Drosophila melanogaster: one gene and its partner. Changing the gene in region 2 together with the main gene of any one other region gives a genetic interaction. Each region holds a gene or a part of one and is shown on either strand. Other genes may lie near its edges. The genes, in order: Vap33 and ND-20.

Region 1 (8,162 bases), about 12 Mb from region 2:
CTTTATCATTTGTTTATTTCCACATTTCCTTTTATTTATTTTTAGTTTATTTTTTCTTTTCTTTTCTGTATTTCTAGTTAAACATTTAAATACGAGTTTTCCACATGCCTATGAAATTACAGCGATCATGCATGTCGGCGAATATATATTCATGTATAAATCTATATACCCTTTTCAATGCTTTGCAAACTATATAAAAAAAGTCGTAACCACGAACAATAGCAATGAAATGTGTTGGGGAAACAATTGTGTGAAACAAGATGCATCGCCAGCAAATAGTAGGCGCTACGAAAGGAACCAAGTGGGTGGGTGGGTGTATCTATGGATCCAAATCTATGGATCCACGGGTGCAGTGTAAACCATGAACAACACGCGTTTGTTTTGCTTCTAGTAAAGGTTTTTTCGTTCCTTTTTTTTTTTGTGTTTTCTTTTTTAGAAAATTGATTGATTTTTTTTTTGCACTTATTAGATCGTATATATATCGGCGTGTCGGATACAGTTGATGGATTTTCTCAATTTCGGTGCCATTTGGGCTGGAAATCGTTCAATTCGACCTTGGCAAACAACACAAATTACATAAAGGTTTGCTTACAGAAATTTAGTATATTCATATAATATATATATATCTATATATATATATATATATATAGCGTTCATTGAGTGGTGTGTATGTGTGTAGTAATGTAACCACTGAAGTGACTAAAACGAAACTTAGTAAATGCAAATGCCAACCAAAACAATAATGATTATATATAAATATGTATATATAGAGCCGCCGTCCGCGTTCGATCTCGTTTCGGGATTTAGAGAGGGACAGACGGTTGAGAATGAGAAAGAGTGATGGGACGAGGGGTGAGGTGAAGCAACTTTTCTTTCTTAGAGAGCGTCGGCCTTGCAGAGCATTGTTGTTTTTATTTTTTTATTTTTTGAAGCTTTTCATTGATTGGTTTTCCATACAAGTGTTTCTTCTTAATTTTTGTTGCATTTTGCTAAATGTTTTTTTCTTGACATTTGCGTTTCTGTTTTCGATTTAAATTTTACATCTAGGTCTATGTGGCTGCAAAAAATTAATTAACAAAAAGAAAGCAAATAATAAAAAAAATTGATAAAACTGAAGTTTATTCTCGCACTCAAGTAACAAATTGGTTTTTCTTTTAGTTTCGTCGAGAAGGTATGATTAATGATAATTTTTGTTATTCTTTGAAATACTTGACTTTTCCCGTTTGCAAATGCATCGAAAAATTATTAAAACGAATTGTGAGGCATTTTAAACTTAAGTTCTTACAAATTAATAATAGCGAAAAAATGCAATCGAAAATCTGAGCAAATATACGTATGGATCTTAGCGGATTTTAAAGAGTTCTTGAGAGATGTTCCCCCTTGCGAAAATACGATTTTACGTCTCTTCTATTTTTCCCTTTCTCTGCGGTTTTTTTTTTGTTTTTTTTTTTTTTTTTTGTTTTGTTTAGCCCAGGTACCAAAAGTAATCATTCGTTATGTTTTCTTTTTTTTAAGTATTGATTATGATGTGAGGGATTTCATAGGGCCCAAATGTTCTTATTACTCAAAGTCCGGTTGCGACTAATTCAAGCGAGATCTTGCAAAAACTTAAATATTTTTGGTTGAAATACACGAAGCGTCAATACAGCTTAAAATTGTTTCGAATGCTTTACACTTAAGTCTCGTTAAGATTCGTATTAAAAACAAGAACTGCCAATCTGTCTTTGAGCAATATGTTGGAACCAAACAATATTTCTCACATCATAATCCATACTATTCTGAGCGATACTTGTTTCGCTAACAAACAATGATTATTTTTGATTTTCAATACAACCGTTTAAATGTATACGGTCCCCGGTTTAGTCAGCTTTACATTCGTCTCTGTGGTTTGTTTCTTCTGCCAATTAAATTTATTTTAATGCTCCTGCTGCTGCTGTTCTTCTTTCGTTGTTGTTGCTATTGTTAGTTGCTGCTGCTGCTGCTGCTTTTGCTTTTGTTGTTGCTGTTGCTGTATGATGGTGTTGCCGCTGTTCTTGCTGTTACTGTTGCTGCACGTTGCATGTAGCATGTTGCTGGCGTTCGTTTATGGCATTCAGAGAAAGAATTTGCCCAGCAGGAGGCTAACGATGGCCGCAGCAATGGCAACTGCAATGTAAAAGACCGGAATCTGCTTCTCAGCCAGGACTGGGGCATAGGGCTCATTCACCTGTTTGACGGCCGGCGAGCTCCGGAAACGTGTGATTTGATCCTGCAAATGGTTGAGAAATTTATTAATTTACACAAATGGATAGATTGATCCTTATCTGGCTACTTACAAAATATTTATCCTATGTATTCTTTTTTGAACTCGAAAACAAATCAGCACCCCAACTGAACCGAGTTATTGTATAATAACAATAATTATATATCAAGCGCGCAGAAAACTCCCAGGCACAACAGATCATTATTTGCATTATTCTTGGAATTACCAAATTGGATTTACTTATATTTAAAGGCTGATTATTTTTAGTACACCACAGCAACCTAATGCAAGAAATTGTCACTAATAGTGTCATTAATTTTCATATCAATTTTGAGATCATCGCGTACAGCCTATAATTTGAAAAAAGTCAGAGGCCTGCTTCTCCTTATGGCTGAATCGACTCATTCTAACCGATTGCGAACAAAACTGAATATTCAATATTGAAGACATCTTGATAATACTGCTGAGGAACTCCCTTAGGTAGCAGTAACTTCGACATTGCACTACTCAAAACACAGAAAAAATGAAGAGTCATAATGGAATTGGCTTACCTTCAAGTGAAGATTCTCTCTTCGCAATTCAATGTTGCATTCACGCAGCGCTTTGATCTCTCCGGACAGCAAGTCCAGACTCTCAGACGTTTCGAGCAAATTGGATGGCTTAAACTGGGTAATATGTTAGCGTTATTTATTATGCCATTAGAAAGGTTTTGCCTGTTCGACTTAACATACCTTATCCTCGCTGGAGAGCTTCGGCTTGCTCTCGAGCGCCTCAGCGCTGGCTGAGCTAGTATTGGCACCCGCGCTTCCGCCTCCGGCAGCTCCGGTTCCGCCGCCAACGGCACCACCACCGCTGGTGTTCTCAGCATTTGCCTCAGCGGTGGGCATCTCGAAAACGCACTTCAGTTTGGCGTCCATCAGCTGCTCGGGCTCCAGATCCTTCCACTGCGGGTGTAGAATAGGACGTTGATTAGAAAAGTAATATACACACTATGCCATCATTAAGAGTCCTATTCGTTTCCCCTTACCAATTTATTTAAATCGCTTAGATCAGCATCCATGGGTGCCAGGACGCTCTGCACCATGAACTTGTGCTTGTTCTTCTCCTGCTGATCGTAGACGAATGGCTGAAGGCAGACTATGTACATGCCGAGGATAAGTAACGATATTATTAGAGTAACGATATACCATTTGAGAAATACTCACTCTCCACCTGGGTTGATCGAAAGGGAATTATCTTGCCGATGTTTGGACGTACGCAGTAGCGTTTCGGGGCGGTTGTCTTGATCTTGAAGACCAGAGGCAGAGCCGAGTTGTTGCGCAGAGTCATGATTGTGACAACGGGTCGGGTGAAGGGACCTGTAAGGCGAGAATATATCAAAATGAGTGTTAGCTTAAGGAACACATCTTATTAATTTCATGGCACATATAACGCATATGTACATACATATTTCCCTATTGTTAATATTTTCTGATTTCCGATTTTCTCCTCATGATATGATCTTTAAATAAAACAGGCATTATCGCCCTTTCATATTGAATGCACCCGATTAGTCACACTATTTTGGCGATAGCCCCACCCAACCCAAAAGCGCCCAACACTCGCACTTTCCACATTTCTCTACTTTCCCGATTTTCCCCACTCTTCCTGATTTTTGTGTAGCGTCACGCTCGTTGCGTCATTGGTCGAGGCAAGTTCAAATTAATTGAATTAATATCAAAACAAAATCGAGAACGGGCACAAAAACCGAATAGTAAACTGAATATCGAGGAATACCCTGCATATTGAAGTTGGATTCACTACCAAAATGTGTAACTTATTTTGAAACTATTATGAAATTACAAAAATTACTTCAAATTATTTCAGATTTAATGTGATTAGTAAACGCTAGTATTACTCCGAATATTACTTTTAAGCCGACTAGAAATCGATCGCGGGGTCTTACATTCTAAAATAGTTTTTTTGGTCACATTTTTAACAGGCATTGGTGAGAAAATCAAAACAAACCAGGAAATGGGCAAAAACTAACGAAAGGAATTTTTTTTGTTTGTTAGCATGGCGTGTGCGTGTTTTTCTTTGGTGTAAGTGTGTGTCAAGGAAATTTCATTAGACAAAGTCGCGTCATGCATGTGTTTTTCACCCCTCGCCGACCGCACTATTCACGATCTAACGGGAAACGTGGGCGAGGGGGTTGCAAAAGAATGGGGCTAAGGCTCACTCACACATACACAGATATTAAAATATTTGCGCACAATGGAAGCGATAGCAAAATACTTGAAAAGTTAACTCAATTTTTTTCAATAAGACAAAATACAAATGGTGAATGGTTATTGGTGTATTATTCTAGATCGCAATCAACAATGATTGGTCATTTAAGTAGACATTTCGTTCTGCAATTGAGACTGTGATAAAATTTCGCGAAAAAAATTAAATGTTTATGCACTGGAAAATGCAGCTTGGCAACAGGAGTTCAATAACAATGCGATGACAACCGTGCCACTTGTCGCACCCACTGTGCGAGCTCTTTGCATTGTTTTTGTCACTGCTGCTGTTGCTTTTTGGCCAAAATTCAAGGAGCCAAAAGACAAGAAAAAATTAAAATGGCCCATGACAAGTTTTTGCGTATAAAAATATAATGCTAGCCAAAAACGCGAAACGAGTGAGCAAGAGGGAGAGGGATGGCGAGTGCAAGTGAGAAAGAGAGCGACGCCAGCTGCCGGCATCAAAAAATAAAATACATTAAAGAGCTGAAGCAAAAAAAAAAAAAAGAAAAAAAACGGAAAGAAGCAGAGCGATGATACACGTAGACCCCGAAAAGAACAACAATAAAAGGTGTCGTATGTAAAGGAAGAACAAAAACAACGGAAATTATTGATAGCCAATCGAGCGAGATGGCAATAGAAAGCGTAGAGGGAGGGAGATTAAATGTGCGCGTGAGAGAGAGAAAAAGTGAAACTTGCAGTTTGCTCTTTGCAAGAAATGGGAGGTGAATCGGCTTTTTTGGTCGATATGCAGCGACCTTTCCGCAAAAACGCGAAAATAATGTAAAATAAACTTACCCACAAAACGCAACTCATGTTCTGGTTCAATGGTCAACGGAAGATCAAAGAGTGATTTGCTCATTGTGGCGGCTGGCTTTTGTTGTTGTTGTTGCTGCTGCTCCTGGTGTTGTTCTTGTCGTTGTTGCTGCCGAGAATTTCACTCTCTCCGCTTTTCGCCTCTTATCGTTTTAATTTTATTTTTTGTGCGTCCTGTTTTTGCCCAGCTATTTGTTGTTCTTGCTGGCTGTTTGCTGTTAAGAAAATGCACACAAAATTATATTAAAATGCAGACGCACGCATAGATACGAGACACAGGCACACAACTAAATTAAAAGAGGGATTTCAAATTTTTCGCTTACGTTTGCGTTTTTTAGCCAAATATATCAAGAAAACTGCTGCTGTTTTTATGCCTGTTTCGTTTTACTTTACTCGTCTCTCTTTTTTTCTTTCGTTTTTCGTTCGTTTCGCTCTCACAGGCGAAATATCGGTAAATTTATGCGACCACACACACACGCATGGACAAAAAAAAAGCAAGAGCCAGAGAAACTCACGCACGCACGGGCTTTTTGCAGAAAATTTCGGGAAAAAAACACAACGATCAACGTGCGACTTCTTCACCGACTTTAGGTCGCTTTTCTGTCGATATTTTCGATTTCAGTGGTTTACCACGCTTCGGTTTCTTCGCAAACTTCAGTTGAAAACGCAAAATGTAAAAAAGCCATATATTCTGTCAGCTAGTGATGTGAAAAAAATATCGATGCATCGGGTATCGATATTTTTAGTTTAGCGACTTTTCGATACTTGTCAAGCATTGGTCGTTAAATTACCTTGTAAAATATATATAGTGTTTTTTAAGACAAGATATTTTTTCTATTTTTTTTTATTTAGGTAATTTGAAAATGTTATTAATAACAATTTGCACCAAAATTTTCCTTTCCCTGAATAATGCCATTCAGCTTTTGACAGAATATAAATTAGTTAAATTTATAACATAACGAGTACATGAAATTTAAAAATGTATTAAAATAAATTTTCCTAGTTTTAAGTTACAATTTTGCAACAGGAAGCAAAGCAGTCGAAGTAATACATAAAAATACGAATAAAAATAAGAACATGCAAAATTACAATAATTTTAAGCTTGCCAAAGCATTTATTTAATAGAACACAAATTTGTATTTGATGGTAGTATTACATATTTTATGTAAATATAGTCGGCCTTAAGGACACACAAAGTTGTAAAATAACCTGATATCAAATTATTCTGATGTTCAATCATAGCGTTTTGTATATTATATATATAATACATAATAATACGAAAAAAAAGAACATGCAAAATTTTATTAATTTTCAGCTGAATAACTTCACTTGCTTGCCAAAGTATTTTTAGTAAGACAAAAAATTTGCATGGTAGTGGTACATTTGTTATGTGCATACAGTCGTCCTTTTAAAGGACATACAAAGTTGTAAAATAATCTGATATCAAATTATTCTGATGTTCAATCCTAGCGTTATGAATATTATATATGTTTTTAGTCATATAGAGATCTGACTGCCTAAGAATTAAAGTGTTGGACAAGCGGCGGAGTTTCGATTTGGCTTAAGAAAATTACACTTCTAACAGCATCTCCTTAACACTTGGCCGCCTGCTGTTCCTGGATATTTATGCCGAATCGCACAGCGAAGGCTTTACTAGCTAGCTTCATAATCTCGTTGCGAATGGAGAATGGAGCCTTGGCCACAACGGCCATCAAATGATCCCAATGCTGGCGCTTCGTGATGGTCTTATTGTGTTTGGCGTGGCTCCGGAAGGCGATCAAATATTCTCGAAATAGGAATCTAAAGGCCATGAAAGCGGACTCGCTGTTCACCTTGACCACTGCATCGCTAAGATCGCCCATAACAGCACAATCGGCCCTTTTTTTAAGGAGCTTTTTGAAGAGATCGTTAGCCTCCTGTGCACTGGACTGAGTTAGCAATTTGAGAAAGGAGCGTGTGTCCTTTAAGGTGTCTTCTTTAAGGTAGATGAGCCAAAAGCCCTTGTGCTTTAAACTGTTCACTTGGTTCAAGATCCTCTGGCGGCATTCTGTGAAAGAGCAATAATTAGTAGGCTTTCGTCTTGGACTTACATTTATAAGAGCGCACCAGTGCCTAGGAATGTCAGATGAGACAGACCGTCCTGCCAATACCACACCGCCAGTTCTAAATTATCCACCCGGAAATCTTCAAAGGTGGCCAAGTCCCAGCGTAGGGCATCAATGGTTTTCATGACATGCGAGATCAGCTTCCAGTGTTTCAAACGCCACTCTGGCAAGCTGGCATTCAGATATGTGTAGTGCTTGGCCACCTTGACAGCTGGTGCATCGTCTCCGTTCTCCAATTTCGGGTGCTCCTTTTCGAGTGCATTTAACTCTGCAGTGCCTCGGGTGATTAGATTGCTTTCACCCAGACTAATCTGCTTGAGCAGTTTCAAGATTAACTGCAAGCTGGGCAAGTTCATGGGCTCTATAAACTTGGCCAAACCGTAGGCACACGCGTCTAGGAACCTATTTTGCGCCTGCCTAAGCTCATCCTCTCCGTAGGGACACCGTCCGTCTTTCAAACTAACGCACAGTTGTCGCGCTGACGTGTAGAGACCGTTGAGGATCTGTCGGTGGCCATATAGGTAGAGTGTAAACTGCAAGGCATACGGCTTTTGAAGTAGTTGCTCGTTCACCAAGATGTTATCGGCACAGGCGGAAATATGAAAAGCAGCATGCTTGGGACAAGACTGAGCTATGTGCCAGAATAGCTTCGAGAAGCGAGTATGCGTCACGCCCAAGTGGGAGAAATCAATCCAGGTCTGTCTTGCGTTCTCAAAGCACAGTACTAGAAATTTGGTT
Region 2 (3,689 bases):
AGCCTGGGCTCTAATCGGGCCAAGTGTCTCCTTTGGCATCACCAAGTATCTGTTTAATCTCGTGATACGGGGCGTGTCCTCACGCATAATGCGGCTTCGTATAAAGAATTCCCAGGACGGCCAGGGTGGAAAGTATCAGGACACCACGCTGGAACAACAGAATGCGGACATCTATGCCAGCCTTATTGCTATCATAACCACTGAGGTCATGTTCTTCCCGTTCGAAACGATTCTACACCGTCTGCAATTGCAGGGAACACGAACTATAATCGACAACCTCGACAATGGCTACGATGTCGTACCCATTCTAACAAACTATCAAGGAGTCGTCGATTGCTATCAGACAACGATTGTCTCCGAGGGAGTTAGTGGCCTCTACAAGGGCTTTGGAGCCATGATCCTGCAGTTTGCGGCACACGTGGCCGTCATCAAATTGACCAAATGGGTTGTGAATCAAATCGTAGAGGTCATCTCCAACCGACCACCACAGCGAATAGTGAATTACTATAATCTGGATGAGAATGCTTGCAACTCCAGGTCCACGACCTTGTCGCCAAGCCTTTCCAGTACCGAAATGGGGGAGATTAGTCTTGGGCAGAATTCACAAGACTAGTTAATGGCTAGTCAAATTATATTGCATATGTAAATTATACAAATATTTATTTCTTTTTGTATTTTTCGTTGGGTTTATTGGGACGTTAGCATGAATAATTGTATTTTAAGGGTTTGCTTACTCTGCAGTTGCGTTAAAAAAAAATCTGCCAATTAAAAAATATAACTATTTTAAACACTTTAAACTGAGCTTATATTCTTGCACTTTGTGTCCCGAAAACGTCAGGACCTTGAAATGAATACAGAAAAATTAAGTAAAAACAGCAGATTGTCCTGTGGTTGGTGCGATCGTTTCTATGACAACTAAATGATATGGTTGTGTATACAATTCACGATAAAAAAAAGAGGAAGGAGCCGTTAACTTCACGCTCATTTTGAAGGGAAACAAAACTTTTTTCGAATTCACGATTTTCATTACGACCGTTGGCAAACACACGTACGATTCAAGCTGACGTTTGGATACAGAAGCACAGCTTGAATGTTTGTATTTATATCGAAAGGCATTTATTTGCAATATCCTCGTGATCCAACAAACAATGTATACAACAACTGAACGTTAACAGAACGATATTTAATATGATTTCTGTTCGCAAAATCGTATGTCGTTTGATGTTTCACATTTTAAATATAAGTTCCGATCGTTGCCTTACTTCCTATACCACATCTGGAGCGTCTTCATCCGCTTAACCTTCTTCTGCAGCTGCAAAACGCCGTACATGAGCGCCTCGGCGGTTGGCGGACAACCGGGTACGTATATGTCGACGGGGATTATCCTATCGCAGCCACGGACGACGGAGTACGAGTAATGGTAGTAGCCGCCGCCGTTGGCACAGCTGCCCATGGAGATGACCCAACGTGGCTCGGGCATTTGGTCGTAGACCTTTCGCAGGGCCGGTGCCATTTTGTTGGTCAGCGTGCCAGCGACGATGATGACATCGGCCTGACGTGGAGATGCACGGAACACAACACCATATCGATCCATGTCGTAACGCGGAGCAGCGATGTGCATCATTTCGACGGCACAGCAGGCCAAACCGAAAGTCAGTGGCCAGATCGAGCCCTTGCGACCCCAGTTGAGCAGATCGTCCAGTCTGGCCAGTGACCACTCCGCAACGGAGGACTGTTTGGTGCCGAACGGAGAGTAGCCCTTCTTGGGCAGATTTTGGGCCACTTCGGCAACTGGAAGCGTTTGTTGTTGGCGCACCAGGGCCAAATTCAGAGCGGGCAGCGCCGAAATCGACGCATTCGGTGTCTGAGTCGCCTTTTGGAGAGCCCGGGACAGGGTCGATGACATCATCGCCGAACGCAGCATGTTGATCCTGCTAAAGTAAATCTGTAGTTATACTAGGACTGGGCATTTAAACATTTAATACCTATTTATGTAACTTCAACTTATTTCGATTTATAGGGGATGCGTATGATGTGACCGCCGCCGAACTACTAACTAAAATACCAAATGCACCAGGAAAATATACTATAAAATACGAATTTACTTTAGATATCCTATTCTCACACAAGCACATCACTTGCGGCAGCATGAACTTTATGCCCTTTTCCCACATGAACGCAATGGTTGGCTAAAAAAATCAACTTGCTTGAAGGTCATAGCTTAAGCTGACCAAAAGGCAAGTAAAAAAGTAGTTATTAATGTTTTTGTTTGCTTTATTTTGTAATATGTTGGTGTAATTCTATTGTTACAGCGGCTTGGGAAATGTTATGCAAACAATTGAATGGTAGTAAAGCGACGACTCAAAATACGATTAGCACTCTTAAGAACTAAAGATAAAAAAAACCACATGTTGATTTAACTCGCTAATTTATATTTCAGTTTGAATTGTAGATTATGCTTGCTCGCTTGATTTTCCCCCTTTTAAAATATTACTGGTTGGATTAGGGTAGCTGTTCTCTTTTTGATTCCTTTTAGATATCGTCGATGTTCACGTCGTCCTCGTCATCCTCGTCGCCTGCAACAGCGCGTGGAATTCCGCGTTGGACGACCCGTTGACCGCCACGTTGGCCGGCACTGGAAACGTAGTTATCCTCCTCGGATTCATCGTCCTCCTCCTCCTCACTTTCGGAGGACTCTTCCTCGGCATTCTTCAGCCAGAGAACGAATGGCATAGCTTTCTCGTGTATTTCGGCAGCAATATTTTTCGAGACATGTCGTTTGCTAACCTTCTGTGCCCACTCCAGTATGACGGCCTCATCGAGTATGTCCAGATCATAAAACAATTTGAAGATTCCAGCAACCTTGCTCATCAATATACCCTTATGCAGCTCTACAGTTTGCTCCACTCCACCAATTAGATAGCGCTGTGCTTTTGGATTATTGAGGGTGAAGCGAAGAAGCAAAGGGCGATTCTTCTGCACGTCCTTGATGATGTTTTCAGTGAAAAGCAGCTCGGCGAGAACCAATGGAGCCTTGTTAATAATATCCAAGCGTTCGGCTTCAATCACCAGCTCCTTGTGAGTTTGCACATCATCCAATTGCTTCTTGTCCCGCTTGTCCTTAACCAACTCGTAGAAAATATCAATGCGCTCCTTTTCAGTTTTATCATAGTCATCCGAAATAGTCATACCCTTAGCACCATCAGTCAGATCTTGCAAACGAGCACGAATAGCCTCCTACCGGGGTGGAGTAGTAATATACATATGAATAGCTCTTTAAGCTAATTGCGAGTATATACGGATTAAACAACGTACCTTCGAAACATCGACACTCCATCCCTCATCGTCGTCATCCTTGGCTGTTTTCTCCGGAATAGCTGCGCTAATCTCGGCCTCAGTTTGGCTAGCCTGATTTGTGCCGTTGCCGCCATCTGATTCACCGCCAGAGTTGTTGGCCAAAGAGTTATTGGTCATGGAGCCATCGGCGTTATCGTTCTTCTGCTTCTGTTTCCTCGAGCGTTTGCCCTCGGTTAGCGATGATCCTTGGGCGGCCGGATTCAATGACGGGGGGTTCTTCACAATGAATGTGTTCACTTTATGGTTAACCTTGAGCAGACCATGGAAGCCGCATGCCTTGCAAGACTGCGAAATGGTCTGGTTTTTGGCCGACACAGTTAAATTGGTCTCCG

The links.
Region 1: of ND-20 (region 2) and Vap33, changing one suppresses a phenotype caused by changing the other (phenotypic suppression), as found in Drosophila melanogaster (one study listed by BioGRID).

The regions. Positions count from the first base shown.
Region 1 is NC_004354.4:3,946,853-3,955,014, reverse strand, and holds the start of Vap33 (VAMP-associated protein 33kDa), read right to left. Parts: upstream 6,041-8,162; 5' UTR 5,643-6,040; intron 5,535-5,642; 5' UTR 5,366-5,534; coding exon 5,302-5,365; intron 3,601-5,301; coding exon 3,448-3,600; intron 3,380-3,447; coding exon 3,270-3,379; intron 3,187-3,269; coding exon 2,974-3,186; intron 2,908-2,973; coding exon 2,794-2,907; intron 2,249-2,793; coding exon 2,093-2,248; 3' UTR 1-2,092. Other genes in the region: Gem4c (gemin 4c), read right to left, coding at 6,912-7,366, 7,426-8,162.
Region 2 is NC_004354.4:15,984,753-15,988,441, forward strand, and holds ND-20 (NADH dehydrogenase (ubiquinone) 20 kDa subunit), read right to left. Parts: upstream 2,057-3,689; 5' UTR 1,986-2,056; exon of another isoform or gene 1,932-1,985; 5' UTR 1,925-1,931; coding exon 1,259-1,924; 3' UTR 721-1,258; downstream 1-720. Other genes in the region: Slc25A46a (solute carrier family 25 member 46a), read left to right, coding at 1-613; eIF5 (eukaryotic translation initiation factor 5), read right to left, coding at 2,533-3,237, 3,316-3,689.